Alligator mississippiensis: one gene and its partners. The main gene of each other region encodes a partner of the protein of the gene in region 3 in a complex. Links are inferred from orthologs where the notes say so. Each region holds a gene or a part of one and is shown on either strand. Other genes may lie near its edges.

Evidence for each region.
Region 1: EIF3G (region 3) and EIF3I share a complex: the UniProt entries of both Homo sapiens proteins name them as parts of the eukaryotic translation initiation factor 3 (eIF-3) complex. The link is inferred for Alligator mississippiensis from reciprocal best matches to the Homo sapiens genes EIF3G and EIF3I.
Region 2: EIF3G (region 3) and EIF3E share a complex: the UniProt entries of both Homo sapiens proteins name them as parts of the eukaryotic translation initiation factor 3 (eIF-3) complex. The link is inferred for Alligator mississippiensis from reciprocal best matches to the Homo sapiens genes EIF3G and EIF3E.
Region 4: EIF3G (region 3) and EIF3D share a complex: the UniProt entries of both Homo sapiens proteins name them as parts of the eukaryotic translation initiation factor 3 (eIF-3) complex. The link is inferred for Alligator mississippiensis from reciprocal best matches to the Homo sapiens genes EIF3G and EIF3D.

Annotation. Positions count from the first base shown.
Region 1 is NC_081829.1:5,592,295-5,599,838, reverse strand, and holds the start of EIF3I (eukaryotic translation initiation factor 3 subunit I), read right to left. Parts: upstream 3,014-7,544; 5' UTR 2,935-3,013; coding exon 2,932-2,934; intron 2,844-2,931; coding exon 2,751-2,843; intron 2,418-2,750; coding exon 2,330-2,417; intron 1,780-2,329; coding exon 1,714-1,779; intron 979-1,713; coding exon 829-978; intron 720-828; coding exon 592-719; intron 384-591; coding exon 273-383; intron 1-272. Other genes in the region: TMEM234 (transmembrane protein 234), read left to right, coding at 3,036-3,048, 3,258-3,409, 3,836-3,902, 4,177-4,269, 5,669-5,745. UniProt on the Homo sapiens protein: Component of the eukaryotic translation initiation factor 3 (eIF-3) complex, which is required for several steps in the initiation of protein synthesis.
Region 2 is NC_081826.1:32,216,033-32,222,872, forward strand, and holds the start of EIF3E (eukaryotic translation initiation factor 3 subunit E), read left to right. Parts: upstream 1-3,822; 5' UTR 3,823-3,849; coding exon 3,850-3,939; intron 3,940-6,840. UniProt on the Homo sapiens protein: Component of the eukaryotic translation initiation factor 3 (eIF-3) complex, which is required for several steps in the initiation of protein synthesis.
Region 3 is NC_081831.1:22,141,907-22,149,546, reverse strand, and holds the start of EIF3G (eukaryotic translation initiation factor 3 subunit G), read left to right. Parts: upstream 1-4,635; 5' UTR 4,636-4,728; coding exon 4,729-4,748; intron 4,749-4,920; coding exon 4,921-4,970; intron 4,971-5,660; coding exon 5,661-5,780; intron 5,781-5,873; coding exon 5,874-5,962; intron 5,963-6,209; coding exon 6,210-6,269; intron 6,270-6,597; coding exon 6,598-6,702; intron 6,703-6,831; coding exon 6,832-7,021; intron 7,022-7,105; coding exon 7,106-7,213; intron 7,214-7,389; coding exon 7,390-7,526; intron 7,527-7,602; coding exon 7,603-7,640. Other genes in the region: DNMT1 (DNA (cytosine-5)-methyltransferase 1), read left to right, coding at 342-483, 708-874, 1,076-1,253, 1,390-1,585, 1,781-1,944, 2,197-2,313, 2,891-3,028. UniProt on the Homo sapiens protein: RNA-binding component of the eukaryotic translation initiation factor 3 (eIF-3) complex, which is required for several steps in the initiation of protein synthesis.
Region 4 is NC_081827.1:100,926,529-100,933,767, forward strand, and holds the start of EIF3D (eukaryotic translation initiation factor 3 subunit D), read left to right. Parts: upstream 1-4,227; 5' UTR 4,228-4,335; intron 4,336-5,802; 5' UTR 5,803-5,813; coding exon 5,814-5,936; intron 5,937-6,330; coding exon 6,331-6,376; intron 6,377-6,770; coding exon 6,771-6,907; intron 6,908-7,008; coding exon 7,009-7,094; intron 7,095-7,239. UniProt on the Homo sapiens protein: mRNA cap-binding component of the eukaryotic translation initiation factor 3 (eIF-3) complex, a complex required for several steps in the initiation of protein synthesis of a specialized repertoire of mRNAs.

The DNA of each region.
Region 1 (7,544 bases), on a different chromosome or scaffold from region 3:
CTCCAAGAAGAGCAGCACACAGTGCCCCTCTCCACCTCAGCTCTGAAACCACTGCATGATTGCCTCTGCCTGTCCATCTAGCCCAGGCAGCCCTCTCCTTACAGGGCTGTTCCCACTAAGCAGACATTTGCTTTGGTGTAAAAGAAGCTTGGGTCCATGGTTACCCACAAGTTTCTAGAGAGAAGCCTCAAACAGTGGAAGGGAAAAAGAAGTCGAGATGGCCATTTCCCTCAGCGTCCTAGAGCCACTGGGTGGGCCAAGAGAGGTCTCACCTTGGCTGTGTTGTCCTTGGAGGCAGTGATAAACATGGTCATGTCCCGTGAGGTCTGGATGTCGTTGATCTGCTTGGTGTGCTCTTTGACATTTGTGAGCTGCTCCCCTGACTGGGACCAGACACAGCAAAATTAATGATCACCCTCCACCAGCACCAGAGCACCCCAGGTGCACATACTTTCCCCAGCCATCATACTCCAGTGCCCCTTGCCCACACCTGCACCACGGCTCACAAAAGTCCAGCTCATATGCCGTGGGATGCCCACCATATGGCCCTCTTCCCTGCCCTCAGACAGTCCTGCTCTGCATCACACTCACCTTGGCACTAAACTGGTTCAACTCTCCATTCTCGTGCCCTGCAATGATGAATTCCCCCAGAGGGCCCCACACAGCACTGGTGATTTTCGACTCGCTGCATGGGATTTTCATGTAAGGCTCATCGTTCTCTGGGGAAGGAAGGAGTGGCTCAGGCACAACGCTGCCAACTGAACTGCTGACAGAAGGTGCCATCAGAGCCTCCCCACCCCCACAAAGGCATCTGCCCAGGCTCCATACCAATCTGGCTGGAGTCCCGCAGGTCAAAGAAGCTCACAAAGCACTGATATCCCATCTGCTTGTCCGTGGAGAACATGATGATGTTTCCTCCAAAATCAAACCCGCAGGTTCTCACAGCGGAGCTGGTCTTCACTAGGGCAAGCTGTTTTCCTAGACACAGGGCAAAGTCTCAGTGGACAGCTCCAGACCACCACATTGTGAGTTTCACACCATTAATTTCACCATTCACCAAGCAAAGACAGGAAACTAGAACAGGGTGCAGTCAGCAGCTTTAACTACCTGTAAGTCGTTTAATGCAAGTTCCAGTCTATTCTCACTGCTCAAGTCCCCACTGATTAGTGAGCTAGCACAGCAAGTGATGTTTTGGGCTCTGAAGAGGGTCTCGCAGCAGTCTCCCAAGTTGGTAAACAAGCACCTTAATGCTTCACTACAGGTCAGAGAAGCATGCTCTGTGGGCCTCCGCCCAAATGCTTTTACTCAAAAAGGATGACACCATTTCAGCTACTGCAATATCATTCATGAAATGCACACAAGAAAGAATTTCTTTTAAGCTGCTGGATGAATTACACACTCACAAAGCAAGGACCGACCCTTCTGGTCAGAGATAAAGTGCAAGTTCCCCCAACACAAGCATCACCTCAGCACCAATTCCAGGCTGAAGACATCAAATCAGATCAGTGTGGAAAGTGAAGAGGGCAAAAATACTTCTTAGTGGGCAGGAATCAGAACACGAGCACACCCTTCCGTGAGCGGCCTCAGGCAAACTGAAACGTGCCTTTGCTGAAGTGAGAAGCCAACACATTACCCTGCTGCTCCCCAGCTCACGGACTCAGCTGTGCTCTGATGAAAGGCTTGAAAGATCCTCTCCCCAACAGCTTGTCTTACCTGTTTCACAGTCCCAGAGCCGGCAGGAGTTGTCTGCAGAGCCTGTAAGCACATGCCTCGTGTCCCCTGAACCATTAGTTAAGGAACGTCAACAAAGCCTTACTCCCCACCCCTCAAAGGAGCCAACATTCACATATTAGAGTAGGACACAGACACACGCACACAGCACTGTAAGAGTTTCAGTGCACGCATCAGGAATGCGACACATGCGTGTTAAGTAACTTTCATTCCACGACGCTGCGGCCAGATATTTGTGCCACGAGAACCAGGCTCCTCTCATATTCAGACAAGCTTTTGCTTTGCATTTATTAACTACCGTCTGCAGCGGCAAGAGAAGATCGCTTTGCAACGATCTTCCAGGAACCCCAGCTTCACCAGCAGCCTGAGTACGTTGTATCATCCTGCAGCGGTGAAGGGTAAGTGTGGCTGGGGCACAACGGCGCACAGACCATTTCCCGTTTCAAAGGAAGGGGGGAAAAATCCAGCAGAGAGTAAAGGAAAGAGTCTGATACCAGGTTGGACAAGGATCACTTGTACCGTAGCCCCCCCCGACCCCAACGACGGCACTGGAGAAGAACCTGAAGACGCCAGACAGGCCGTGGGAACCAAAGGATACAGTCCGCATCCACACACCAGACGGCTCCCGTGTGACCGTTGTAAGTGCCGAGCCTCTCTCCGTTGACCGAGTACCAAACGTTGACAATCTGGAGGAACGACAGAAGCAAACCGAGCGTCCGCTTTACCTGACGTTGCCGGGTACGCGAACCCCGCTTAGCGTCACATGCGAAACTGCATGGAGGATCTCGAGGCTCGCGCCGCAGCACGCACGAATGCGAGAGGCGGGTTATCGCAGCTGGGAGGAACCGAGGAACGGGGACTGTAGACGCGAGATGCCGGGTTACAACGACTGTGAAGCAGGCAGGGAGGGGGCCTGGTGTTGGGTGGAAACCATACACGTGTCCCGGGCGGGGATGAAGCGCCCCGGGCTGGGCAGAGCGGCGTTTTGGGCGGGGGAGGGGAGGGGCGGACACACTCACGGGGTCCTTGGCGACGGTGAAGAGCAGGTCTCCCTCGCGGTTGTACTTGAGCTGCGTGATGGAGCGCTCGTGGCCCTGCAGCAGGATCGGCTTCTGCGGGGACAGCGCGGGTCAGCCCCGAGCCCCGCCCGCCTCCCCTCCCCCACACCGACACCGACACCGACACCCCGCGCGCACCCACCATGGCGGCGGCGCTCCCACACCAGCGCGCAGGGCGGAAGAGGAAGAGCGGCAACCGCTTCCGGGTCAGAGCGCTCGGAGGCCGGAAGTAGAGGCGGCGTTGCCATGGCCCCGCTGGGTAAGCTTCCCGCTTCCGGTCCCCTCGGGCACATACGACCCCGGGCGCGTGGGGGGCGGGGGCACCTTAGAGCCCGACGTTGAGGACGTGACCGACCTGCCCCTCCGCGGCGGGGGCCGAGGGGCAGTAATAAAGCACTGGAGGGGGGGCATCCGTATGGCGGGGCACGGATCCCCCCTGACCCGCCGCGGTCGCTGGTCACGTTGCAGGGGACGTGCCCGTGCTCGTCCTCGTGGCTGTTCTGTGGGGAGGGACCAACCCCTTCCTGAGGACGGGCACGGAGGGGCTGGAGAAGGTGAAGCGGGAGACCCGGCTGCTGCAGCTGCTCGCAGAAATGAGATTCCTGCTCCTCAACTACAAGGTAGGGCGCTGGCGCTGGCCCCGGCCGCGCGTTGAATGGCTGCGACCTGCGCTGAGGTTTTACCGCGCGTTTTCCTGGCCGCGTCGCCCGTTTGATTTTTTGTGACATCTCGTTTAGCTCGCGCGGGGCGCTGCGTTTCCTCCGAGGACTTCCCAGCGCGTGGCAGCTCTTCGTGAACTCCCCCCTCTCCTCAGAAACGATCGCGAGCCCCCATTACTGACTAGGAAAACAGAGGGGAACGTATCGCATTGACAGGGATTCAGCGGCACGGCCCTGCGACCGAAACGCTGGACCTGCTGCTCCCTTTCAGATCAAACTGGCTCTCGCCCCTTTCGTGGATCCCCGGCGCCCGTCCTTACATGATCCCGTCCTGTGTTTACCCTCATTTCTTCTGTAGTGACTTGACACGTTGTGCTCTCCTTGCAGTATATGGTGCCACTTGCATTTAACCAGTGTGGATCTGTACTCTACTACGTCACATTGGCATCGGCAGGTCAGTGGTTGCTCTCCCCTTTCCAGGGCGGCGGGAGGGTTGAGACGATGGGAAGAGAGTTTGCAAAAAGCACAGGCTGGCGCTCCAGGCGAGAGAGGTCGGCTGGGCGTATTGCAACAGCAGCAGGGATGTCCGTTATAATGCTGAGCGTGAGTTTTACAGCATTGTTAGTGTTTAAGCTGTGTGTACGCCCTTGTTAAAGACTTACCTGGCACATACACCAGTAATTACTACGCTCCAGGTCAATGCGTTAATATTACCCGTTCCATTTCAGACCTCTCGCTGGCAGTTCCTCTCTGTAACTCTCTGGCTCTGATCGTCACCCTAATAACCGGAAAGGTCCTTGGGGAAGACATCGGTGGTAAAAGTAAGTCACGCCTCAGTCCTTTTATAGATGCACTCTGCACACATTTGACTCCATGCCCTGAATCTTTGTAGTGGCTTGGTTCAGCACAGTCTTCTAGGTAAATCATAATCCAAGGAGCGGACATTAGGGGTAGTTAAATAATTCACCGTGTGCTGGGTTGGGGATGGATTTAGTGAGCTCCCCTCCCTTAGCTGTGGGGCAATGATTTGGCTAATCCTAGTCTATCATGGATAGCATAGCACCGCTCCGTGCTATTTTCGGCAACTGTTGTCAGACTGAGACTTGAAACCAGAAGCAGGACAACTCTGCTATGGGTCACTTGCTATCGCTACACTAAGAAGTAGTGTGTTACCCCACAGTAGATAACATGGTTCTGGGGGTCTCTCAGGGGAGGAAGCTACTCAGTTGCAAACATGATCATCCTTTACGATGAACTGGACTCTTCACATTGTGGGGAGGGAAGGTGAGTTTCACTGAAGGAGTCCTGTCCTGCCAAGTTCAAGTCACAGGGAGTTGAGGGCTCCTAGTACCTCGGGTTTGGGCTTTCATGGGATAAGATATAAGGGATGTATAACAGAACTAACAATTGCTCTGGTACAAGAAAGGGATGTTTCCTGCACACCTAAAACACCAATGAAGAGTCTTTATTCCCATCTGAGTCCATAGAGCAACATCAGTGCAGACCAGTTCCCTTCATAAAGACACTACAAGCTTGGGAATATTAGCTACTGCTTGGAAATTGCTAATAGCTACCAATAAGCCCATGCCAACAGCTGCATTTGTATTTAAACAGAGCTGTTGCTAGCACAGCAGTAATGCAGTCTCCCTGACTGGGAAAAAGGGTTCTTGTCTGTCCTAAGAAGTATGATGCAGTTCACCACAGCATATTTGCTCTCCATAGCACAGTTCTGGCAAGGCAGCTCACAGACAAAATGCCTGCACAGCAGTGGAGGGAGCCTCTCTTAGAATCTGCTTTCAACAATGCTGAAGTCCTATCTGGTATTAGTTTAGTCTGATCCCATCCAGATTTTACACTGTGATCTCCAGAACATCTCGGACTCTGAGGACATGACCTGATGGACTTGTCCTGAAGTTTATCATAAAATCATAGAAAAGTAGGGCTGGAAAGGACCTCCAGGGCTCATCTAGTCAAACCCCTGCCTGAGGCATGATCACCCATGCACCCCCTGCCCCAGTCTGCACCTATCTGGCCATGGGGAAAAATTCCTTTCTGACCCCAATTTGGTGACTGGTCTGACCCTGAGCAGAAAGGCAAGACCCTTTAGGCCAGGAGCCTCCAGCTTTGGTCCCAACAGGAGTATTGGCACACCCCAGTCAACGTCCCCAAGCTTTCTGAGTTCAAAGGAGTTAATTTTTCTTTTGCATGTCTTTTCCCTAGGGGCCATGGTAGGAATGCTGCTCACTGTCTTAGGGGTCACCCTCTGTATAGCTGGTTCTGTGAATGAGAAGCAGTGAGATATTGAGAGAGAGAGAGAGAAGAAAAGAACATGCAGAAGATGATGCTTGTATTTGGGAACTGGTACCCTACCCTCCCTGAACCAGCACTGAGCGGCACAGTCCAGGTTTGGGCCCTTTTGGAGGCTGACTGTTGAGAAGTGAGCTTTTCTAGCTGGATTCTCTTTGTCTTCATTGTTCCGTGACACCAAGCCTAGAATACTTGGCTTTTGAGACCTCTGTAAACAGCCGTGTCTTGCTTTTCTTCAGCCCTCCATCCTGGTGTCTAGAACTCTGGCATTGTGGGAAGCTTGTGAAATAATCTGCATTTACTCTGTTGCACTAATTGAGGCACTGGCATTTCAAAACCCAGGCAAAGTGGGTGGCAATCACAAAGAGGTTATTGTGTAGAGTCAACACCTGGGTTTCACTGTTAACAAGTTGTCTCCTTACAAGATAGTGTGTTTTTATTAAAAAAAAAAAAAATCAAAATATTTTAACTCTTAATTAGATGACTCACTGACTTAGGAACAGAGAAAATGTTCCATCCGGTTCACTTAGCAGAGGTAGCTGCAGCTCAGCCCTGCGCGCCTCCCCCTCAGTTAAATTGCAACCTTAGAGTATTTTTGGGGTCATCAAGACTGAAATAAACTCAGTGGTTCCTGCTTTAACTCCTCCTGGGTTGTCTCAGAACATCTCTTTGCATCTCCCTCGCACTGGAAGCTCTCTTGGACAGGAACGGTTGTGAGATGGTCTTGTTCAGCGTTCAACACAATGTCGATTGCTAAGTCCCCTGAGCTTGTCAGAAGTGAGACTATCTGTTAAAAATATCCTCTGTTTCATTAGAACCCTGACTGATTTCTGAGCTGCAGGGATGGTTGGGGGGCCTCTGATGGGAGCATAGTGTGAAAGGATAATGAATCACATTATATTGAGTGACTTTCTCCATCAGCTCAGAAAATAGTACCAGCAGCATCCAAGTGGAACTGTTCTCCATGAGACAGTGTTGCATAAAGGCAGTAACGGGCTATTTTCTCAGTGGCATTCTACCTCAGGGGCTTGTGTCAGATCACAACACAGTAACAAAGTGGACATACCTCAAGTACAACAGTTCTTACAGCCATCATAATTTCAGTTCTCTTCCTAAAGGTGCTTATCATCAGACACTCAGTCCCGCCTTCCTCAGGTGTCCAAAACTCCTAGTTGTGACTAGTTGCATTAAGGACTGAATACAATCCATTCCAGCCCAAGGAGTGGATACATCAGACTAGGAAAAGCTTTTCTGCCTTTATGTGTTATCAGGAAAGGAAATATATTGCTTGGGTGACTCTGGGGTTAATAAACTAGCTATTTATTTTTATATAAAGAGGTTTCCTTGATTTAGGTTGACGCTTTTTAAGAACAAGAAGAATGAGCCTTCTGGGACTAGATTTGTTATAATGCTCATCTAACAACAGTCAAATGCAGCGGTAGAAATTAACCAGGCCTGAGCACAAAAGAGCCACAAAATCATTTTAAACACAGGATCTATAATATGGAGAACATTTCCTGGCAGACATTTCAGTAAAGAAGACTTAGAACTATTATTTACAGTAAAAATAAAATAAAAATCCCAGTTCAGACAGACCAATTCCTTGACTACTGAAGCTTATAACTGTAGGCCCAACATTTCCACCTCCTCCCTCAAATCAAACATTTTAGAGAGAAGGGAGACAAGTGTTTGTGTTCAAAGAACAAGGACCTGACTTATTGTTCATGTTCCAAAACCCTTATAGTCAAGGCACTTAGTTTCAGACATGGTACTTGAACCTGTCCCCAGA
Region 2 (6,840 bases), on a different chromosome or scaffold from region 3:
GGCATATTTTCACACAGTGAGCACGTAGGATATTTCAACACTGACATACCTTGTAGTATTCTATCATGAATCTCTCTGGGTCATCTACATGCAGCTGTAGGAGTTTCTACTGGATGCAGCCCAGCCATTTCACTTTAAATCTTGAAATTAAAAATCATGTAATTCATAAGTTTATCAGAAGTGTTGAATAGTGAGTGCTGAATGTTTAGGAAAAAGGTTGCCTTCACCCTTCCTTTTTCAGGTTAGCTGATTTTCAACAATGATTGTTAGTGCCTCTCAATTTGATGCCTGGTTTGATGTCACATATGTTAAGCACAGTGACCTGGTATTTTCATGCTATGAATCCTGACATTTTAGTTGTTCATCAGGTATGCCTTTCTAATATTTTTTAGAGGGTGGAAACCACCCCTTTGCAACAGTTTATTGTCTTTTCTTTTCTTTTGTTGCCTGGTACCCATGCAGCTGCAGAAATTAACTGGAAGTAATAAGGATCTGCATTTTATAAGGCAATCATCTAGTTTCAGAATGGATAAACTATAAGGTCAAATGCCAAGTAATTTATCATAATGAAAAAAAATTCAGGAAGATAGATACTCCTCCAATACATAAAACATTTTTATTATAAACATAACTTCCTTCCTTTCTTCTTGCTTCAGTACCTCCCTTTCTAAACTCCATGTCTGCTTTTCATTATTGTTATATTAATGTTTGGGAAGCTATTTATTGTGATATCCGAGTCCCTTTATAATGGTTACATTAAGTCATTAATGGACCCAGTAGATCTACTGTGATCTCCTGCTGCCACAGTCTTTTAATTTAGTCAGCCAGATATGAACATTTGTAATTTAGAGACACTCCTTTACTTAGAAGACTACTGAAGTTGGACATTGGGAAATTGTCCCTTAGTTATGCTAGTTAGTGAGAGAGAGAGACAAAGGGTCTGTAGAGGTTGCTCATTGCTCCACAATTAAATGTTGTTGTTAGTTCTTTGAACCCAAAGATCACTACATATATTACATAATCTTTTAACTAGTTGGGATAGCTTTGGCATAACTCTTTATAAATGAGGTTCAGGCAGAAGCACTTTTCCAGAAAAAGCAAGCTCCACAGTTATAGGCCTAACAAAAAGAATGTTCTGACTTTTCAGCATCCAGGAGCATGGTATCTTTAGCGTACCGAGCTGCAATCAAGCATAAGTTACAGTCATTTGGAGATAGTGGGGTAGGCATAAAAGTGACCTAGATGTAGTCTAGGTAGGACTTTTTAAGAAGTAAATGGTACCCTGAATTTCAGAAGCAGAGTGTGAGTATGCTGTGCTTATGTTGTTTCACTGCAACCAGGAGGACAGTCTAGATTAGCTACCAAGTGGCTTTCACAGATTTTCCTCAATAGAGTCCAATGCAACAGGCCAGATAAATGGTCATAAGGATGTTGTGGATAATCAAGGAGGAATAATTATGTTACAGGCAGTACAGAAATTCCTTGATAAGCTGAAGGTGGAAAATATTGTTCTGATGGAGGATGTAACCTTCAAGGCTAGAAGCTGTAAGAAGTGCAATAGTAAGTTTCTCAAGTTGTTGCCCATTGTAGAAATGACTGGGCAGACACCACGAATTGATGGACTATTTATAGAAGTCAATAGATCCTCAAGGGTTTTTTTGTCAGTTGTATCTTTTATTGGATTGACTTCATGATTGGGAAAGACTTAGATAAGCTCTTGAATGTGAAACATTCTTTGAAAGTTTGTCTAAGTCTGTCCCAACCATGAAGCTAGTCCAATAAAAGATATCACCCACAAAAACCCTTGCTTCTTGCATAATTCATAATTCCTGGACCATCATGGCTACAATATCACTCCTATAAACCCCCAAAGCTCTTTGTCCCTACCAGTTAGAATTGCTTCTCATGTTAGTTTTGATAGACAAGGATTTTTCTGCGATGTCTTTTTTTGGACCAGCTTTTTTTGGACCAGCTGTATAGTTGGGAGAGCTGTTGGACAAACTTTTGGGCACTTCAGGTTAGTTTTAATGTGATTTTTATTCAGTTTCCAATTTCCACCAGGCGCTGGGCAGAACAGGCTATATAGTAGCATCTGGATCAGAACTGGAAGAGACGGCAAGCTTGGTGTTACCTATGTAGTGATATCACCACAGCTCATGTTGCCTCATAACAAGTAGGAATTAATAATGTAGGATGCCAAAGTCATAATCACAAAGGAATGAGTGAAACTTCTCTAAGGTATGTCTATCCTACTGGATCATGCAAGCATATTACAAAGTTGTTGAAAGTTGCTGGTAGCCGTGTTGCACTTCGCTGGGTCTGCTTACATTCCCTGGTTCACACCTTCTTGAAATCAATCTGAAATCTATATTATTCCCCATCACCCCATAGACTTGGAGGATTAGGGGTAGAATGATTTTAATTTCCCAGTGTCTCAATTTAGCAATGGGGGACAGCTCTCTGTCTGCTTCCCTTTGTATGTCATCAGCAAAGGACCCCTGGGCTCTGCTTCATCATTCTCTTACCCTCTTTCTGACTGGAGAGGCTGGGACTATAAAGAACTGGGTACACAAGAGCCATCAGCAGTGCCCAATAAGAAGTCCTATGGTTATATACATCTAAAAAGCTATGCTGCACATTTGAATGCTACCGACTAGCACCTTATCAATTAACTATTAATACCCGCACAGATATCTGGATAAATCCCTATTTCTAATGTATAAAAGGGAAAAATTACATTAAAATCTAAAAATCTGCTACAAAAATGAAACTTCATTCACATCACATGCACCGTAACAATGTATTTTTCCTGTCACTGGCACTGAAAGTCTCCTTGATGGAACCCATGATAGGCATGCTACCATGGGTCCCTCTGTAAGTCAACTCAAGATCACACAGGATGTCAGTGGCAAGACAGGGAATTGAACCAGTCTTGCAGGTTTCAGGCCAGGACCTTTACCAATTGGCCATCCTTCTTCCCTAACATGACATTTAAGGTTTTTTACATTACTTGGAGATGATGATACCTCTGTCAGGAAGTCAAGCATGATGGGAAAGGCTATGACAGCAGTTCAACTCAAGTACAGAAGGTTTACGAATGTCATTATTTATTTTGTAACTTGCTATAGCTTGGATATTATTTTTTGTTAGATGCTTAAAAGGGAACTCCATTCTCCCCACTCCCAGCCCCCTGGCAGCAAGATTGGCTGCGGGGAGACCACCCCTGGTCAGAGGGACTGGTTGCAGGTGGGGCACGTGCCCCCCTCCCCCCAAAGTGGCACCAGTCGCCCATGGTTGGCAACTCTCTTCTGGGAGCAAGGATGTTCCCGCCTAGCGTGGTCAGCTCTTAAATATGAAATGATCCTATTTGCTGAAAAACTATCGTAGGCTGAAAAAAATAGGCAAGCAAGTAGGCACGGAAGTCTTTTTTCACTTTATTTCGTTCACTACAAGTAGCCAGTGAGTGCGGGAGGCCTGGGTCAGCCAACTCGAAGCATTTCACGCGGGATGACCGTACAGATCCCGCCCGAGCCGCCGAGAAGAAGTGCCTGCCACCTCTCCCCCACCCCGCCACGTGCGCGTCCCACTCCAACCTTTGAGCAAAGCAGAGCAGAGGGAGGCTAAGGGCAGCACAAGCCACGCCCCTTTGCCCTCAGGCGCCCGCCTGCGCATGCTCGCCCCTGGCCCCGCCTCCTAGCTGGCGCCGGGCACCCGTGTACGCACGCGCGCCCCTGGCCCCGCCCCCTAGCTGGCGCCAGGCACCCGTGTGCGCACGCGCGCTCCTGGCCGCTTCCTGACGGCGCGTCTCTGCGTCACGCGCCGGCGCTTCCGCCCCTTTCCCCTCGCAAGATGGCGGAGTACGACTTGACCACCCGCATCGCGCACTTCTTGGACCGGCACCTGGTCTTCCCGCTGCTCGAGTTCCTGTCCGTGAAGGAGGTGAGATGGCGGCGCGGGAGCCCGGGGCCAGCCCGTCACCCCGCATACGCGGCGCGGCCCGCGGGGCAGCCGGGAAAGGCAGCGGAGGCCGCGGGGCCTCGTGGGTGTTGGGCCGGGGGGGGAGGGGTGATTCCCGCCCCTTCTTCCCCAGGCGCCTGCGGCCGTTTGCAGTAAACCCGGAGCGCGGCTGCCGCCCAACCCTGGGAAGGCCACGTCCTCCGCGGGCCCTGCCATTTGTTTCCAGCTGCTTGTGGGAGCCTGGCCCTGCTTCCCTTCCGCCGCGCGGCCCCCGGGGGGCCTGTCGCTCCTGGCAGGCTCTTCTACAGATGCGGTGATCCGGGATACAGACTTCTCCATCGCGGGAGTGTGGGGTGCATTAGACACACAGCCACTGCATGGCTGTAAGCCCGTGGCCCTCAGGCCACAGGTGCTGGGGCACACTAGGGTGCTGATGCCTCTTTTTGGGGGGGTTCCCTGAGGTGTGAGGTGATAAGCAGATGAATAAACCCAGGCTCAGGCTTGTCCTTGCCTGGATGATCCTCTTGCCAGGACCCTTGGCAAGGAAGTGATGGGGGTAATCGGTACCCTTGTTTTTGCAGTTGGGTGCCAGTCAGTTCACAAGTGTTATGTTGAGTTCAAAAAGCTTGAGAGCCGGTTGCTGTCAGTAAAGCTGCCGTACACCCGGTGACTGGGCAGTCAGCTCCGTTTAACTTCTTGTTGTGTTTAAATTGTCGATTTAAAGATTGCAAAGTTTACTGGTCTCCATACAACTTCCCTAGATGGTCTCATTGACTCGTCAGCTCTTTTGAGTGTATTATATTATTATATATTCTTATTGGGCAGGTCTTAACCTACTCGTGCTAGTCCTTGAATGGTGGTTTCTTTACTTTTATGGAAGTCCCCATCTTCTGAATGACTATAGCCAAAAATGCCTTTACTTCCAAATTAAAATTAGTTCACTATTTTCCTTGTTGGACTCCTCAAAATGTTCAGTGTTTTGGCCTGTTGGTACTTACCGAGGGCAAATTATCAGACCAGATATAATTTTAAAGGCTATCTAGCCCAATATTCTTTGTTAAACAGACTTGTCATCATTTAACTGTACTGAGTACTGCATATAACATTACATCTTCAACAAAGAAGGTAATAATGAGCCAAATTATACACTCCTACTAGCGGTAAAGTAGTTGAGGGCTGTTTTGGGAAGTGCAGGGTAATGCACCTGGGGATAAATAACCTCAACTATACGTACACAATACTGGTTTCTGTACTAGTTGTTGTGAGTCGGAAAGGAGACTCTGGAGTCCTTGTAGATGGTTCTTCAAAAATGCTAGCTTAGTGTGTAGCAGCAACAAAAAACCCAATAAAAGGTTGGACATTATTAAGGAAGGTATTAAAAAAAAAAATGGAGAACACATTCATCACAGCACACTATTCATACAAATCCATAGTGCACCCAGTTTTTGAATACTATACAGTTTTGGTCTTTGTATCTCAAAAAGGATGTAGTAGAATTAGCAAAGGTACAAAGAAGATCAACCAAAATGATCAGAGGTATGCAGCAGTTGCTTTACCAGGAGAGATTAAGAAGGCTAGGACTCTTCAGTTTGGTGAGGAGAGGGTATGATAGAGGTTAATAAAATCATGAAAGGGCCGGATCAAGTTAACAGGGAACTATTGTTCACCAAGTCCCAGAATACTACAACTAGGGGGCACCCACTGAAACTAGTAGAAGACAGATTTAAAATTACCAAGAGAAAGTATTTACACAACAAGTAGTTAACTTGCTGAAATTCATTGCTACAGGTGTTAGAGATGGATGGCATGATAAGAGAAGTGAGGGGGGATTTGATAGCAGCCTTTAACTGCCTGAAGGGAGGTTTAAAAGAGGATGAAGCTAGGCTATTCTCAGTGGTGACATGTGACAGAACAAGGAGCAATGGTCTCAAGTCACAGCAAGGGAGGTTTAGGCTGGATATTAAGAAAAACTTTCTCACAAGGAGGGTGGTGAATCACTGGAACAGGTTCCCTAGAGAGGTGGTGGAGTCTCCATCCTTGAAGAATTTAAAGACTGGGCTTGATGAAGCCCTGGCTGGAATAATCTAGTTGGGGGTGGTCCTGCTTTGAGCAGGGGGTTGGACTAGATGACCTCCTGAGGTCCCTTCCAACCCTAATTTTCCATGATTCTATGAAATGCATGGATGATAGATCTAGTAACAGCTTTGAGCAGAAGAATTGGAGGTGTTTCCTTTGGCATCTCTAAACCAATAATGGTGTGTCAGGGAATGTAATAGATAGAGAACAAATTATTGTACATCTGACCAATTCAATGTTCTTCCTCTAGCTTCCACTTTTGTCACTGTTGGAGACAGGCCTTTTTGTTATGCCCAGAGGAATGTTGACCTAGGCCCACCAAGGGAACTATAAGCCTCCCTTAATCAGGGAACAGTTGATTACTTGGGACAACTAAAGAAAATACAGGGACATCAGTGTGGGTCAGGTTTATGAGTAATCCACTGGGGGACACCAAGTAAGCATGCTGGCCAGCACCTACTGACCCTCAAGTCCAGGGAGCCAGCGGACTCTACCCAGTGAAACTGCCTGGAGACATGGATGGTAAGGGATAAGAAGACAATCCCAAAGTCACTTGGGTTCCCCCCAGCCAGAGACTTCTTCCTGATCTGTTACATGGCTAGCTTAGCTAGAGCCAGGAGCAGGTTGATCAGGAGGCCCTGGGACTTGGTGGGGCCATTGATGGGAAGTGCATAAAAGAAAAGTTTAGAGGTGCACTGATACTTTGGTCCCATATTGGATTGGCACTGGCCGTCGGCTTTTTTTGGCTGATGTGGTCAATAATTCCACCAATAAATGCCTCGTGCACGTGCAGCCGCAGTGCAGCAT
Region 3 (7,640 bases):
AAGGGGACAGATGTAGCATGTCCCTCGCAGTCCCAGCACAGCTGCCAGCAGTGCATCTGAGTCTGCAGCACGGGAAGGTCCATGTGACATGAGAGCTTGGCCTGGGGAGAGCCCCATGGCCCTAGCCCCTGCACATTGCACCCATGGCCTAGCACCGCCCTGGGGCCTCCTGTATAACAACTGAGCTGGACCCCTTGGTGTTGTAAGGGTCCCTGGCACTGTATGAGCCCAGAGGTGCTTGGGGGGTGGCAGGGTGTGGGGGCAGGTGAGGCTACTCACTGGTCATGGGTCCCGGCCCAGTCTCCCTGCTGCACTGTCCCTGCTCCCACCTGTCCCTACAGCTACTGTGACTACTACCGGCCCCGCTTCTTCCTGCTGGAGAATGTGCGCAACTTTGTTTCCTTCAAGCGCTCCATGGTGCTCAAGCTCACGCTACGCTGCCTCGTGCGCATGGGCTACCAGTGCACCTTCGGCGTGCTGCAGGTAGGAGTCTGGGGCCTGAGCAGCACTGGCAGGGCTCCATGAGGCTGCCCTGGGTAGAGGCTCTGTCAGGTTCGAGGCCCTTCTGCTTGGGGCGTAGGCTTGGGTGGAGATGTCATGTGTCCACTCAGGCACCTGCTTCCCTAGGGGGTGAGTGGGTGTGATGTGTAGGGGTGGAAGAGCCCAATGCCCTGCTGGAGCTGGCTCTGGATGCCCCCTCCCCACAGGCCGGCCAGTATGGTGTGGCCCAGACGCGCCGGAGAGCCATTGTCTTGGCTGCGGCCCCCGGAGAGAAGCTGCCTATGTTCCCTGAGCCACTGCATGTGTTTGCGCCCCGTGCCTGCCAGCTCAGTGTTGTGGTGGATGACAAGAAGTTTGTGAGCAATATCACCAGGTGAATGTGGGTAGCCATGGGGGCGGGTGGAGTGGGATGGGGCCCATGGAACCAGTGCAGATGCTCCTGATTTCCCTGGATATCCAGGGAAGGGCATGGCAGGTCCATAGCATGGCACCTTCCCCAAGTCAGAGTTGTGGGGCTGAGGGCAGTTAGGCCATGACTGGTTGCCTGACTGGCCCCTCAACCCCTCCGCCACAGGACGTACTCTGGCCCCTTCCGCACCATCACGGTCCGGGACACCATGTCTGACCTGCCCGAGATCAGGAACGGGGCCTCAGCACTAGAGATCTCATACAATGGGGAGCCCCAGTCCTGGTTCCAGCGGCAGATCCGGGGCTCTCAATATCAGCCCATCCTCAGGGACCACATCTGCAAGGTGAGGACTTTTTGGGTAGCTGTGGTTGTGGGGCAGTGTCTGGGGGTCACTCAGACCAGAAGCCCTGTGTGGGATGGTGCTGGGCAGCTAGTGTCAGGCTGCAGGGAGGTAACGGGGCTCGAACTCGCTGCTGCAGGACATGAGTGCACTGGTAGCAGCTCGAATGAGGCACATCCCCCTGGCACCTGGCTCAGACTGGCGTGACCTGCCCAACATCGAGGTACGGCTGTCGGACGGCACCAGCACCCGCAAGCTGCGCTACACGCACCACGAGAGGAAGAATGGGCGCAGCAGCACCGGCGCACTGCGGGGTGTCTGCTCCTGTGCCGAAGGTACTGGGGGTGGGCAAAAAGCAGACGGGGCTCTGGCCCCATGCCCATCTTGGCTTAGGGGCAGGTGCAGGAGGCCTATCTTGGCTTAGAGGCTGCTTGGCAGGGACAAGGGCTACTCCCTGGTTTTCTGCAGGTGTCTGTGCCCTCTGCCTTAGGTAGCCCAACCCAAGTATGTGCTGCTTTTCCACCTCCCAGGGAAGCCTTGTGACTCTGCGGACCGGCAGTTCAACACGCTCATCCCTTGGTGTCTGCCCCACACGGGCAACAGGCACAATCACTGGGCCGGGCTGTATGGGCGCCTTGAGTGGGATGGCTTCTTCAGCACCACGGTCACCAACCCCGAACCCATGGGCAAGCAGGTGCGTATGGTGGTACCTGGGCAAGCAAGGGTGGGAGAGACGGATGTAGTCCCTGTGGGGCTGAGAATTGCCCTTCCATGGCCCATGAATGCAGCAGGAGGCCTCCAGGCCTTGGCCCTTGCCCTGGGGTGACCACAGGGCAATTTGCACAGGGGCAGGTGCTGCTGGGCAAGGTGCAGTACCTCTCCTCCACAGCCCTGGCTCCAGGGCTGCCTGCCTTGTGGCTGACCCCTGTCTCCCATCCCCCCACAGGGCCGTGTGCTACACCCTGAGCAGCACCGCGTGGTGAGCGTGCGGGAGTGTGCACGGTCCCAGGGCTTTCCTGACACCTACAGACTGTTCGGGAACATCCTTGACAAGCACAGACAGGTGGGTGCCTCAGATTCTCCCTCCCCACGGTGTTGTGCCCCTGCCCCCTGCAAAGGTTGTCAGGGACACAGTTGCCGAGTGGCTACTGACACTAGGACAGCTGAGCTGCTGCTGCAGCAGCCTCAGGCACCAGAACTGCAGGCAGGGCAGGGTGTGGGTGAGCTCACAGTCCCACATTCCTCTTTACAGGTTGGTAATGCAGTGCCTCCACCACTAGCCAAGGCCATCGGACTGGAGATCAAGATGTGCCGGTTGGCCAAGATGAAAGAGGAAGCCATGGGTACATGCAGCACTGGGTTGAGGGGGAACACCCCTGGGCTTGGGTGGGTGGCCCCCGGGCTTGGGTGGGTGGCCATAAAACTTTGCAGCTGCTGTCCATGTTCTCTGAGGGCAGGACTGTAGCTTCCAGGTCTGCCCACAAAATTACAGGTCCCTTAGAAGCCCCAGACCAGAGGAAAGACTTTTCAAACTCCAGGCTTGAGGGGTTAGGGGGGCTGGCTGGCACCAGAGCCAGTCCCTGGTGGTGGCCATGCCCAGGCCTCACCTGCTGCCTCACTGGCCTGACCTCTTTCCACAGAGAGCAGCAAAGTGGAGAAGATGGAAATTGCGGACTGACACTTGCCCTCCCATCTCCTTCTCCAGCTCCAGGACTCCCAAACATGCACTGATTTTTGTTTCGTTTTGTTCTGTTCCTTGTTTTGGTCCGACATGCTGAGTCTGTTGTTCAGCTGTACCCGTGAGCAGTGTTCGTCTCCCCGGCCAAGCTCAAGGGCTGTCTGTGACAGTTGCGTTCTCAACTAATCATCATTTTAGTGATCAGCTGTGCAGTGCCCCCCCCGCCCCGCCTCCTGTGCATTCTGGATTTAAAGGATGATGTTTTTATTATGCCTTGTATTGAAAATAATCGACCACTTTATACAAGTGGAAATTAATACTTTATGTAGTTTTTATATGTTGTAATATTTCTTCAAATAAATCTCTCCTATAAATTACATGCTGGGGAGAGCTCTCTTCTTCTCTCCCCCCCTGGTTTTTCTCAGCATCTCCCAGCCCTGTGGAGGAGGCTGGGGCCTGACTCCAAGTTGGGGGGCAATGCTGGCTCTAGGCTGTGCTGCTGAAGACAGCTTCTGGGCTACAACCTCCTTTCTGGCCATAGTGGGTGCCATGGAGCTGCTAGCAGAAGGGATGTTCCTCCAGCTCTTGCAGGGTGCAGGGCAAAACCACCCCCAAGTCTCTATAAGAACATAACTGCTGTTTACTGGGTCAGACCACAGGTCCATCTTACCCAGTATCCTGTCATACAGCAAGCAAAGGCTGGAAGGTGGGGGTGAGCAGGTCTGACCAGGGTCTTTTTCCACTGTTGCTTTCTTGTAGCCTCCAGCATTAAGGTCCAGGAAGGTCTGATTCAGAGGCTGTGCCAGTTGCTCTTGGGTTCAATAGCGATCAATGCCCCTTTCCTCCAAGGATATCGCCCCTTGTGAAGCTCAGCTAAACTGTCAGCTTCTGCTGCATGTGTTGGCAACAAGTCCCACCCTTTCATGACATGTTGGGTGGAAAAGTACTTGTTAGTTTTAAACTTGCAAGCGGCTCGTTTCGCATTGTGACCCCTTGTTTCTGTCTGCTGAAGATGATCCCAGTACACCCCCCCCCCCCCCCAAGTGAGCAGGCCTAGCCTCCTGAGTCTGCCCTCACAACGCAGTCCCTCCAGACCTCTCATGCTTACTGCCCTTCTATCTCGTATTTGAGGTGCTGGGACAAGAACTGAGTGCACAGTGAACTTACGCAGGGATCCGATGACACTTCCCGTTCTAGGCACGATGCCCTCTTTCAGAACCCCTTAAAAAATCCTCTGCAGGGGTCAGGACTTGCCTGCACCTCGGGGTGGTTCCAGCTGTTGCCCCGGGCCTGGCTCTAGCTCTGCCCTGGGCTGCAGTTGCCTCCTGAGGTTCCCAGTAGCCCCGGCTCCTGGTTTGTGCTGGCTGGGCCCTGAGCCTGCCCCCACCCCCCTTTAACCCTTTCGTGCCGTGGAAAATAACATTCACGTGGGCTGAAGCTGGGGCGGAACCTGGCCTGACCACGAGGCCTGCCAACGCGCGGGGGAGAGAACTACAGCTCCCAGTATGCAGCGTGGCCCGGGTGCGGTGCTCCAGTTCCCAGAATGCATTGCGACCCCGGGGTCGGATGCTAGTAAGCGTGAGATCCTTCAGGACTACACTTCCCAGAGCGCACTGCGAGAATCCGGCAGTTCCTGCAGGCCCCTCAGCTCCCAAGGCTGCCGCGGTGATTCCTCCCCTATCTCCTTCCGGCCTCTCTAGGAGCGTGGGCAGTGCTCGCTGGTGAGGCCCTTCTGCTTCCGGTTTGTGGCGCGAGGCGTTCGGCGGCGGCTATTGCTGCTGCTGCTGCACAGGGCGCGCGATGCCGACGGGAGACTACGAGTGAGACGGGCGGGGTGCGGGCTGGGCCCGGGGTCCGGGGTTGGGCCTGGGGCGGAAATGAGGGAGGGGCTGGGGGTTGAGGGAGATGTGGGGGGTGCGGTGGCCTAGTATGGGGTGGGAGCGGGGAGGCCGGAGGATCGTGTCCGCGCGGCTCTAACTCTCGCTCCCGCAGCTCGAAGCCTAGCTGGGCCGACCAAGTGGAGGAGGAGGGAGGCGACGACGGTGAGAGGCTGCACCCGGGCTGGACTCCCCTCCCTTTCCCCCCGCACATTCTCCTCCCCCCGGCGCGGACCCCCCCACGGGGCTGTGGGCCGACTCCACCTCCCCCTCCCCCAGCAGACACCTTCGGTCATTGGGATCCCCGGCTCCTTTGCATCTGGCCTCGCAGTCTCCTAGTGCTGGTCAGGTTCCAGCCTAGCCCAAGGGCCCGTGTGTTGCTCTAAGGCCCATCGAGGAAGCTGGGTGCCTGCCCCTGCCCTGGCTCATGGCCCGTCCCTGTGACAGGGCAAGAACCCTTGCCCCCACAACACACAGCCCCCACCCCAGGCCCCTTATCTGATCTGGTGGTGGTCCCACAGTACAGGTGACCTGCTGGGGGGTGATAATCCCCTCCCCTCAGACCCACTCTCTGCTTCCCTCCAACTTATTTCCTGGGCAGCCTGCATTTTTGTAGCTTGTTGAGACCTGGGGGGGTAGGGGGGGTAGATCCTGTTACTAGGGCACCCCAAGCCCCACAGAGCTAAGAGTTCCTGTTATTGCAGTGGCACCCTGTAGGATCTCCAGGGATGGGGCATGAGCACACCTGGCGCTGGGTAGCATTGTGGCACCCTGGCCCTAGCCCATAAGAGTTCCCTGTTCCTTCCCCCAATAAGTGACTGACTAGCAAGGTCTAGCCCTGCTCCTCTTCCCCAGACAAATGCATCACCAGCGAGCTGCTCAAGGACATCCCCCTCACTGCGGTGCTGGGTGGGGACCTGGGTGCCAGTGTTGCTGAGGCAGAGGCCAAGGCCGAGTCAGAGCTGCTGAAAGATGGTAAGAGCCAGGCTGGCTGAGGAGTGGGGATTGGGCACTGCCCCAGGGAGCCCCATGGATCCAGTCATCTCACTGCCTGCCCTGTCCCCTTAGGTCCTCTTCCATCCCCAAAGGAGCTAATCAATGGGAACATCAAAACTATCACTGAGTACCGTGAGGAGGAGGATGGGCGCAAGGTGAAGGTGAGTGCTGGAGGGGTTAGGCTGGGGCTGTCTTGGGGACTTTTTCCCTGGCTGGGGCAAGATTCCCCCAGCCTGAGCCATGAGGGGCATGTTAGAAAGTGTGTGATGGGTCGTGGCCCTTGTGTCCACTGCTCCTGTATCCTGCATGTGGGGGCAGTCATGCTGGTGGGGCACTCCCTGTGTCCTTGGGGTGAATGCTACCCCCCTCATTTCTCATATGGTGAGTGATGGGGTCTTTCTCCCTCAGATCATCCGTACCTTCCGTATTGAGACTAGGAAGGCTTCTAAGGCCGTGGCCCGCCGCAAGGTGAGTGGGCTCCTTGCTGGGGCAAGAGGGGTTAAAATGGAGGGGGTGGGCATTGGAGGGTTGGAATGAGACGGGACTGGGCCTTTCACATACCCAAGCTGCTTGTCCTGCCTTGCTCCCTTTTCCCTCCCACATCTGTCCATGTCCATTTCCTCCCTTTTTGGTGGCATCTCTGCCCCCACGCCCAGGGCTGCTTCTGGTTTGGGTTGAGCCTGTTACATTTAACAGATGCCACCAGGGGGCACTTCTGCCCAGTCTCCCAGTTAGCTGGGTGGGATGAGGTGGAAGGATTTCCCAGCTTGACACCTCCCCTGCCTGCCTCTCCCAGAACTGGAAGAAGTTTGGCAACTCAGAATTTGATGCGCCTGGCCCCAGCATCGCCACAACAACTGTGAGCGACGATGTCTTCATGACTTTCATCACTAGCAAGGAGGTGAGTAAGGGTTGGGGTGGGGTCCTAGGGCAGGGGGAGGGACCATGGGCATCCAGCTGCTCTGGTGGGGGCTTGGGAGCTCCCTGCAGAGGAGTAGTTCCAATGCTGATTCCCCCACGCCTGCTGCAGGACCTGAACTGCCAAGAGGAGGAAGACCCCATGAACAAGCTGAAGGGCCAGAAGATTGTATCATGCCGCATCTGCAAGGGCGACCATTGGACCACACGTTGCCCCTACAAAGACACACTGGGGCCTATGCAGAAGGAACTGGCTGAGCAGCTGGGGCTGTCCACTGGCGAGAAGGAGAAGCTGCCTGGAGGTTTGGGGGTGGGGGCAGTGGGGTTTAGGGGTTCGGGTCCCAGAGGCTCTGGGCTCTTCTAACTTTGCTTCCCTGCCCTTGTAGAGCCAGAGCCAGTGCAGGCAGCACAGAGCAAGACGGGGAAGTATGTCCCACCCAGCCTGAGGGATGGGGCCTGCCGCCGTGGGGAGTCCATGCAACCCAACCGCAGGGGTAAGTCCTGGTAATCAGACCTATGGGCCCCTCCTGGCCCTGACTCGGATGCCTGGGTCCTGCTTCCTGCCTCGGTTTGAGCTCCATCCTGGCAGTTCTTTGCCCAGCAGGGAAACTCTGTCCTGGGGGCTCATTCCCATCGCCTGGGCCTGGCCCTGACTCTCCTCTCTTTGCAGCTGATGACAATGCCACCATCCGTGTCACTAACCTGTCTGAAGACACACGCGAGACGGATCTGCAGGAGCTGTTCCGCCCTTTCGGCTCCATTTCCAGGATCTATCTGGCTAAGGACAAGGCCACTGGGCAGTCCAAGGTGCAGCAAGAGGCCCTCTGGGGTGGTAGGGAAGGGCTTGGCTCAGTTCAGCTCTAACCATGGGCTTTTCACCCAGGGCTTTGCCTTCATCAGCTTCCACCGGCGGGAGGATGC
Region 4 (7,239 bases), on a different chromosome or scaffold from region 3:
ACACCCTCTGAATCAGAACTTCCTGGACTTTATAAATGCTGGAGGCTGCAAGTAGGAGAGGAACAGGGGATAAACTGAGGTCATACCCCGTACACTCTCCCTTTCAAGCATCCACTTTCTGCGATGGTGGGACACAGGATACTAGGCAAGATGGACCTATGATCTGACTCAATACAGGAGACCCTTGCCATTTGTGGGGGATATGTTCTTGAACATCTATGTTAATGAACACAGTACCCACGCGGCTGGTGGGGGGCATGGCTGCACTGATGGTGGCAGCAAGTGTGGAGCTCCCGAGGAGCTCCTTTAAGTGTATTTAAGATGCGGGTTCGGCATTCACGAATATTTGAACCCACAAATAGCAAGGGTTTCCTGTAAATGGTAGTTCTCATGTTCATTCGTTGGCAAATTCAACAGAAAATAACATTCCCACATGTAGTTGCAATACATTCACATCTCTCAGCATTGTTGCCTGAATGCTATCAAGAAAAAAATAAGCAGTCTTGGTAAACTCGGATGGAACAAATTAAGTGACCAGGTACTGTGTCGAATCTCTCAAGAGACCATAAACAATGGCACGTTGATGACCAGAACATTACAAAAAGCCAGGGTCCCTCTCATCCTTATCTATTTGTCTTTAAGCAGGGAATGTGGAGGAGAGAAAGGAGGATCTCAGGAAAGGCTGTTGGTCTGACCGAGGATACGAGAACAGCATGACAAAACAGCATAAAAAGAGTTACGGACTTGCATCAAGCAATGGGCTTCTGTGTCGGGGCAGTAGAACTCATTTTTTTTAGACTGGAGGCACCCCGTGGAAAATGCCAACTTGGTTTTCACTCAATTTTTTACTACAGTAAAGTAGAAGAGCAATCATGTTGCAAAAAACTGAGGGAGACTGCAACAGGCCCAAACATTTCTAACCCTCAGCATTCCTGTGGGAAACCTTTGGGTCAACCTGAGATGCCTAATGGTACCAGGGGTGCACGGCATCCTACAGCACCCCTGAAAGGATTTCTTGGCACCCCAAGGTGCTGCAGCAGCACCTACAGGACAATCACTGTTGGAGTCAGGCAGCGGCTGTGGGGCATCTGGGAAAGACGCTAGAGGTAAAGGAGGGCTGGCTGGTGCCTTTATTGTGCTAGGACAGTGAGATGGACTTTTCCACGCAACCCCATCGCCTGCTGGCACAGGTAATCCAGGCACCACCAGTCCAGAGGGCTGCAGGCAGGGGGAGGAGGGCCTGCGCCTAGGGGGAACTGAAAGCCCCCAGCGCAGCCTTGCCTGCAGCACCCCTGGGGTGCTTAGCTCACTCAGCCCATGGTGCATTGTGGGATGCTGGAGGAGCCACGAGGCATTGTGGGATGCCATCAGAGCTAAGCCATGCAGGGCACCACCCAGCGCCAGTGTTGCCAACTCTCATGATTGTTGGCGTTGTTCTTAAAGCCGACACTTTGGGAATTTGACAACCTTAGCTCCTTCTTTTACTTATATCTCTTTCTCAAGCTCAAAGGGAAGTAATCCCTACATGAATCAAAGGGGACAAGAGGGCACAAAGGTCCCCATGGCTCACCAAAAGCATCCGGGAACATCTCCGAACAAAAAAGGAGCCGTACACCCGTTGGAAGGGAGGGGCCATCACAAGAGAGGGCTATACCTCAGTAGCTCAGGAATGTAGGGGGGGCGGTCAGGAAGGCCAAGACGGAAATGGAGCTGGTACTAGCAACCCAGATGAAGGACAACAAGTTCATCACGGGGGCACAGAAGGGAATTGGTGAGGTTTTATTCACCAAGGCGCCCCCAGGGGTTACAAGAAATAATGGCCACAAGCTAGCAGAGAGCAGATTTAGACTAGGCATTAGGAAGAACTTCTTCACAGTTAGAGTGGCCAAGGTCTGGAACGGGCTCCCAAGGGAGGTGGTGCTCTCCCCTACCCTGGGGGTCTTCAAGAGGAGGTTGGATATGCATCTAGCTGGGATCATCTAGACCCAGCACTCTTTCCTGCCTATGTAGGGGGTCGGACTCGATGATCTATTGAGGTCCCTTCTGACCCTAACATCTATGAATCTATGAAAGTCCTTTTTCAAATACATAGGGGGGCAAAAGAAGGTGCCAAGCAATGTGGGGCCTCTGCAGGACACGCTAGGAAATCTGGTCATCTCACCTGACGGTAAAGCTGACATATTCAACAATCTCTTTGCCTCTGTATTTCTGAGAAGGGACCCAGATATCTCCCCCACTGGCCCCCCCCAAGGGCCCTGTGGGTGGCACACCTAGGCCTAGGGTTAATGAGGACCTTGTCAGGGAACTTCTGGAGGGACTAGATGTATTTAAATCTGCAGGTCCTGATGATCTCCACCCCAGAGTGCTGAAGGAACTAGTAGGGGTCATTGCGGGACCTCTGGCACAGCTCTACGAGTACTCATGGCGCTCGGGCGATGTGCCAGAGGACTGGAAAAGGGCCAATGTGGTACCCATCTTCAAAAAAGGGAGGAAGGAGGACCCAGGAAACTATAGGCCCATGAGTCTTACCTCGGTCCTGGGGAAGCTTTTCAAATGAATTATCCTGGCACATGTCCAAGAAGGGCCAGCAGGGGAAGTTATACTCAGGGGCAACCAGCATGGGTTCATTAGGGGCAGGTCTTGTCAAACCAACCTGGTGGCCTTCTATGACCAGGTCACCAAGTCCTTGGATGCAGGTGTCACAGTGGATATAGTCTTTCTGGACTTCAGGAAGGCCTTCAACACAGTCTCTCACCCCATTCTCAGTGAGAAACTAGGAGACAGTGGTGTTGATGCCTACATGGTCAGATGGGTCATTAACTGGCTGGAGGGCTGCACCCAGAGAGTGGTGGTGGACGGGTCTTATTCGACCTGGAGGGATGTGGGCAGTGGGGTTCCCCAGGGCTTGGTCCTCGGGCCCGCACTATTCAACATCTTCATCAGTGACTTGGGCGAGGGGGTAGAAAGCACCCTGTTCAAGTTTGCAGATGACACTAACATGTGGGGTGAAGTGGGTACGCTAGTAGGAAGGAACAGGCTGCAAGCAGATCTAGACAGGTTCCAGGGGTGGGCTGTTGAGAACAGGATGGGGTTCAACTCTGACAAGTGCAGGGTAATACACCTGGGGAGGAAGAACCAGTGGCACACCTAGAGGCTGGGGAACTCCCTTCTTGCCAGTGTTGAGACAGAGAAGGATCTTGGAGTCATCATTGATGCCACAATGAACGTGGGGGGACGCAGTCAGGAAGGCCAACCATACCTTGTTGTGCATCCACAGATGCATCTCAAGCAGGGCCAAGGAGGTGATCCTCCCTCTCTATGCGACACTGGTCAGGCCGCAGTTGGAGTACTGCATCCAGTTCTGGGCGCCGCACTTCAGGAGGGATGTGGACAACATGTAGAGGGTCCAGAGGAGGGCCACCCGCGTGACCAGGGGGCAGCAGGACAGGCCCTACGAGGAGAGGCTACGGGACCTGAACCTGTTCAGCCTCCACAAGAGAAGGCTGAGGGGGGATCTAGCAGCAGTCTACAAACTAGTCGAGGGGGACCAGCAGGCATTGGGGGAGTCCTTGTTCCCCCCAGCACTCCTGGGAGTTGCAAGAAACAACCGACACAAGCTAGGGGAGGGTAGTTTCAGGCTAGACATTAGAAGGCGTTATTTCACTGTCAGGGCAGCTAGGACCTGGAACCAACTTCCAAGAGAAGTGGTGCTGGCTCCTACCCTGGGGGTCTTTAAGAGGAGGCTGGATGAACATCTGGCTGGGGTCGTTTGACCCCAGTGCTCTTCCCTGCCATGTCAGGGGGTCGGACTAGATGATCTCTTCAGGTCCCTTCTGACTCTACCTATGAAACTATATCAATTTTATCATTCTCATTCATACATATATATAAATATAATATATATTATTATATATCATATTTTAGCGCTATATACGTATACATGAAAGAGCTAAGATTTTCAAATTCCCAAAGGATCGACTTTTAGAATAACACTAAAAATCATGAGCGTTGGCAACACTACAGCACATTCTGTGATAACCGAGGAGTGGGGGGGGAAGCAAAGCCTTGTGGGAAGGTGGATGACGAACCTGTTCCTACCCCGCCCCCAGTAGTTTCCGGCTCGAATGCGCAGGCGATGCCGCTTGCGACACTTCCGGACGTGCTTTGCGGCATCCCATACCTTTTGCAACAGCCGGGCGGCCGGCGTAGAGCGATGACGTACCAGGGGCGCGACGCGGGGCGGGGCTGCACGCGGGTTCTCTTCCTGGTAGCAGCCAGGGCCCGGGTCCGCCGCGTCCGCATCCGCTTCCATCCGGGCTGGCGCGCGCCGCGCAGGTGAGCGGAGTCGCGCGGGGGCTGCGGCCGGGACGGGCCCGCCCCGGGGGCCCCGCATCCGCGGCCCTCTCGCCTGGCCCCAGGCTGCGGTGCAGGCCCCCTCCTCCCCGCGCGCTGCCCGGCCTGGCCCGCGGGAGCCGGGGGACATGGGGCAGAAAAAGTCCCGGGAGGCTCCGGTGGGTGTCCCTCGGCCGCAGGAAGGGCTGCCCATACCTGACCGTCGCCTGGGGCTGTCGCTGCAGCTTTCCCGGGCGCGGGCCAAAGCAGGCCAGGAGGCTCGTGTGGGGCCTGTCAGTCCCCGGCTGGTGGTGTTGTCAAGGAGCCAGAGACCATCCTGAGCAACCCATAGTGTGCAGCGAGGCTAATCCTGGCCAGCTGCCTCTGCGAGGTTGGGCTTGTTAAAAGAAAAATGATGGGATGTTGGAGTGTGCCCAGGGAGGGTCTGTGGGCTGGGTCGGGCATCATGTGCAGAGTGCTCTCAGTGCCCACTGTGGGGCAGTGACCAGTGCAAGCAGGGCCTGGTAGGGTGTGCCCTATATGTGGTGCTCCACCAGACCAGCCTTGTGTGTTCGCTCCAAGGCCAGCCAGGCTGGCGGCGCACACTGGAACTGACACACAGGGTGGCCTGGCGGGTGCCTGCTGCATGCAGTGCCCCACCAGACAGCCTTGAGCACAGGCATAATGTGCAGCTTGCGGCCCAGACTGATCACCCCATGCCATGATCATCCACAGTACTGGGTGCAGTGTGCACACCAGACCAGCTCCACATGCAGCATGAAGGGCCAGTCTAAGACCCACAGGCCATAGGTTTGCCACCCTGACTTTTGGCGTCCACTACTTGCTTTTTTGAGTGGTATGGTGTCATCACCTAGTCCAGCGGTTCTGAACCTTTTTCATTTGACATACCCTGTGGTCTCAGAGTGAGACTTCATGTACCCCCTTTCAGTGGGAAATTAATTTTTCGCCCTATGTTACACAGTGTATGCAATATATCTCATGTACCCCCTGATGAGGCTTCACGTAATCTCTGGTGGTATATGTACCCCCAGTTCAGAACTGCTGACCTAGTCATTATGGGCATTTGTACACATGCTTGCACACACTGGTACTGCAGTGCGTGCATTTGTATAAATGGCGAAATGTGCATCAGTGCTGAGAAAATGGTGGTGGTGCACCTTTGAACTAAAGCACATCAAAAGTGTTCTAGTTCAAAAGCGCACCACTGCCACTTTCTCTGCATGCACTGCCACTTATACAACCACACGCGATGCAGCACTGTGCATGTCAGCTCGTGTGGAGCAGAAATAGTCTTACTCTGACATACTGGGTCTCTCGTGCTTCACAATGCAAAAAAGTATGGTATAAATGCCTTATCAGTTGAAGTTTCCCAGCAGCCTCATTTTCAGTCTTGTAAAACTAAAATACTCCTGACACTTGACTGTTCGTTCCACTTTTTTTTTTCCCAAGGATTTTAGAAGATGGCCAAATTTGTGACACCCGTGATCCAGGACAACCCCTCAGGTTGGGGTCCATGTGCTGTGCCTGAACAGTTCCGAGACATGCCGTATCAGCCCTTCAGCAAAGGAGATCGTCTGGGAAAGGTACCGCAGCTTATTGTCAGATTGAGTCACTGAAGCGGTCAGTTAAGGCAGTTCTTTCCTGCTGCCATTCTAACCCTTGTCTGGGCCGTGCACTTTTCCATATAAAGCTTCTCCTCATGCAGCTCTACACACTCCTTACCCACTGTTGTAAGTGTACCAACTTTGCAGCGCTCCTGCTAGGACATCTGTGAACTCTTGACAGTATTTGCAGGCAGCACAGGGAGTTTGAAGGAACTGATAGTTGAGGTGAATGTGCAGCAGGCTCTGAGCATGAAGTTCTAGTTCTGCGTGTTCTCACTGAGTGGCACCTATATTAAGAGACCCTAGTGTCCTGTGTGTGGGAGGTGTGGTTGATACCATCACTACTCTTGTTTCTGTTTTTCTTTTTGATTAGGTTGCAGACTGGACAGGAGCGACGTATCAGGACAAGCGATACACAAGTAAGTTCTGAGTTCGGTAGCTGTTCCTCTCTGAGATACTTCATATATGGTGGGTTTTTTGGGGAGGTTCCTCCTCTCCCCCCCCCCCACACTTCCCCACTGTCATCCCTGTTGCCACCATCATTACTTGTTCCAGTGGTATATAGGAAACCTGTATTCTGCATCTGTCCCCTAGTGCGAGAAGTGTCTTGATCTCAGAGCAAATGTTCATAGCTCCCTCAGTATGGCATTTTTCAGAGAAGTCAGGAGGGTGTGCTTCTCTAAATGAAAAGTTCCAGGTCAGGTCTCAAATTGGGACAAGCATTTGGCAGGGGGATAGAAGCTCTGACTTTCCCAGAAGAATACTTTGCAGACAGACAAAAGCTGATCTTGCATCACGTTTTTTTCTCCCTAGATAAGTATTCATCACAGTTTGGTGGGGGAAGCCAGTATGCATATTTCCATGAGGAAGATGAGACGAGCTTCCAGCTGGTGGACACTGCGCGGACACAGAAAACACCATACCAAAGGAATCGTATGCGGTTTGCACAGGTAACGGTGCCTGTTCACTGGACCCTTTTGGAAGAGGAATGGAGTTGCTGTAAAGATTGCATTTATAACTTGAATGTCTTTTTCCTCCTCAATATTCTCAGAGGAACCTTCGGAGAGACAAGGACCGTCGGAATATGCTTCAATTCAACATGCAGACGCTGCCTAAAAGTGCCAAGCAGAAGGAGAGGTGAGGGCCTCAAACACAAACATTCCCTGACTGTAGCAGAGCTTCTAGTTGCACTACTTGGCTGCTGTCAGTTGAATTACACCACAGCTCAATAGGCCTAATAGGTAACAAAAAAGTTCTCCAAGCCTTTAAACCCCACATGTTT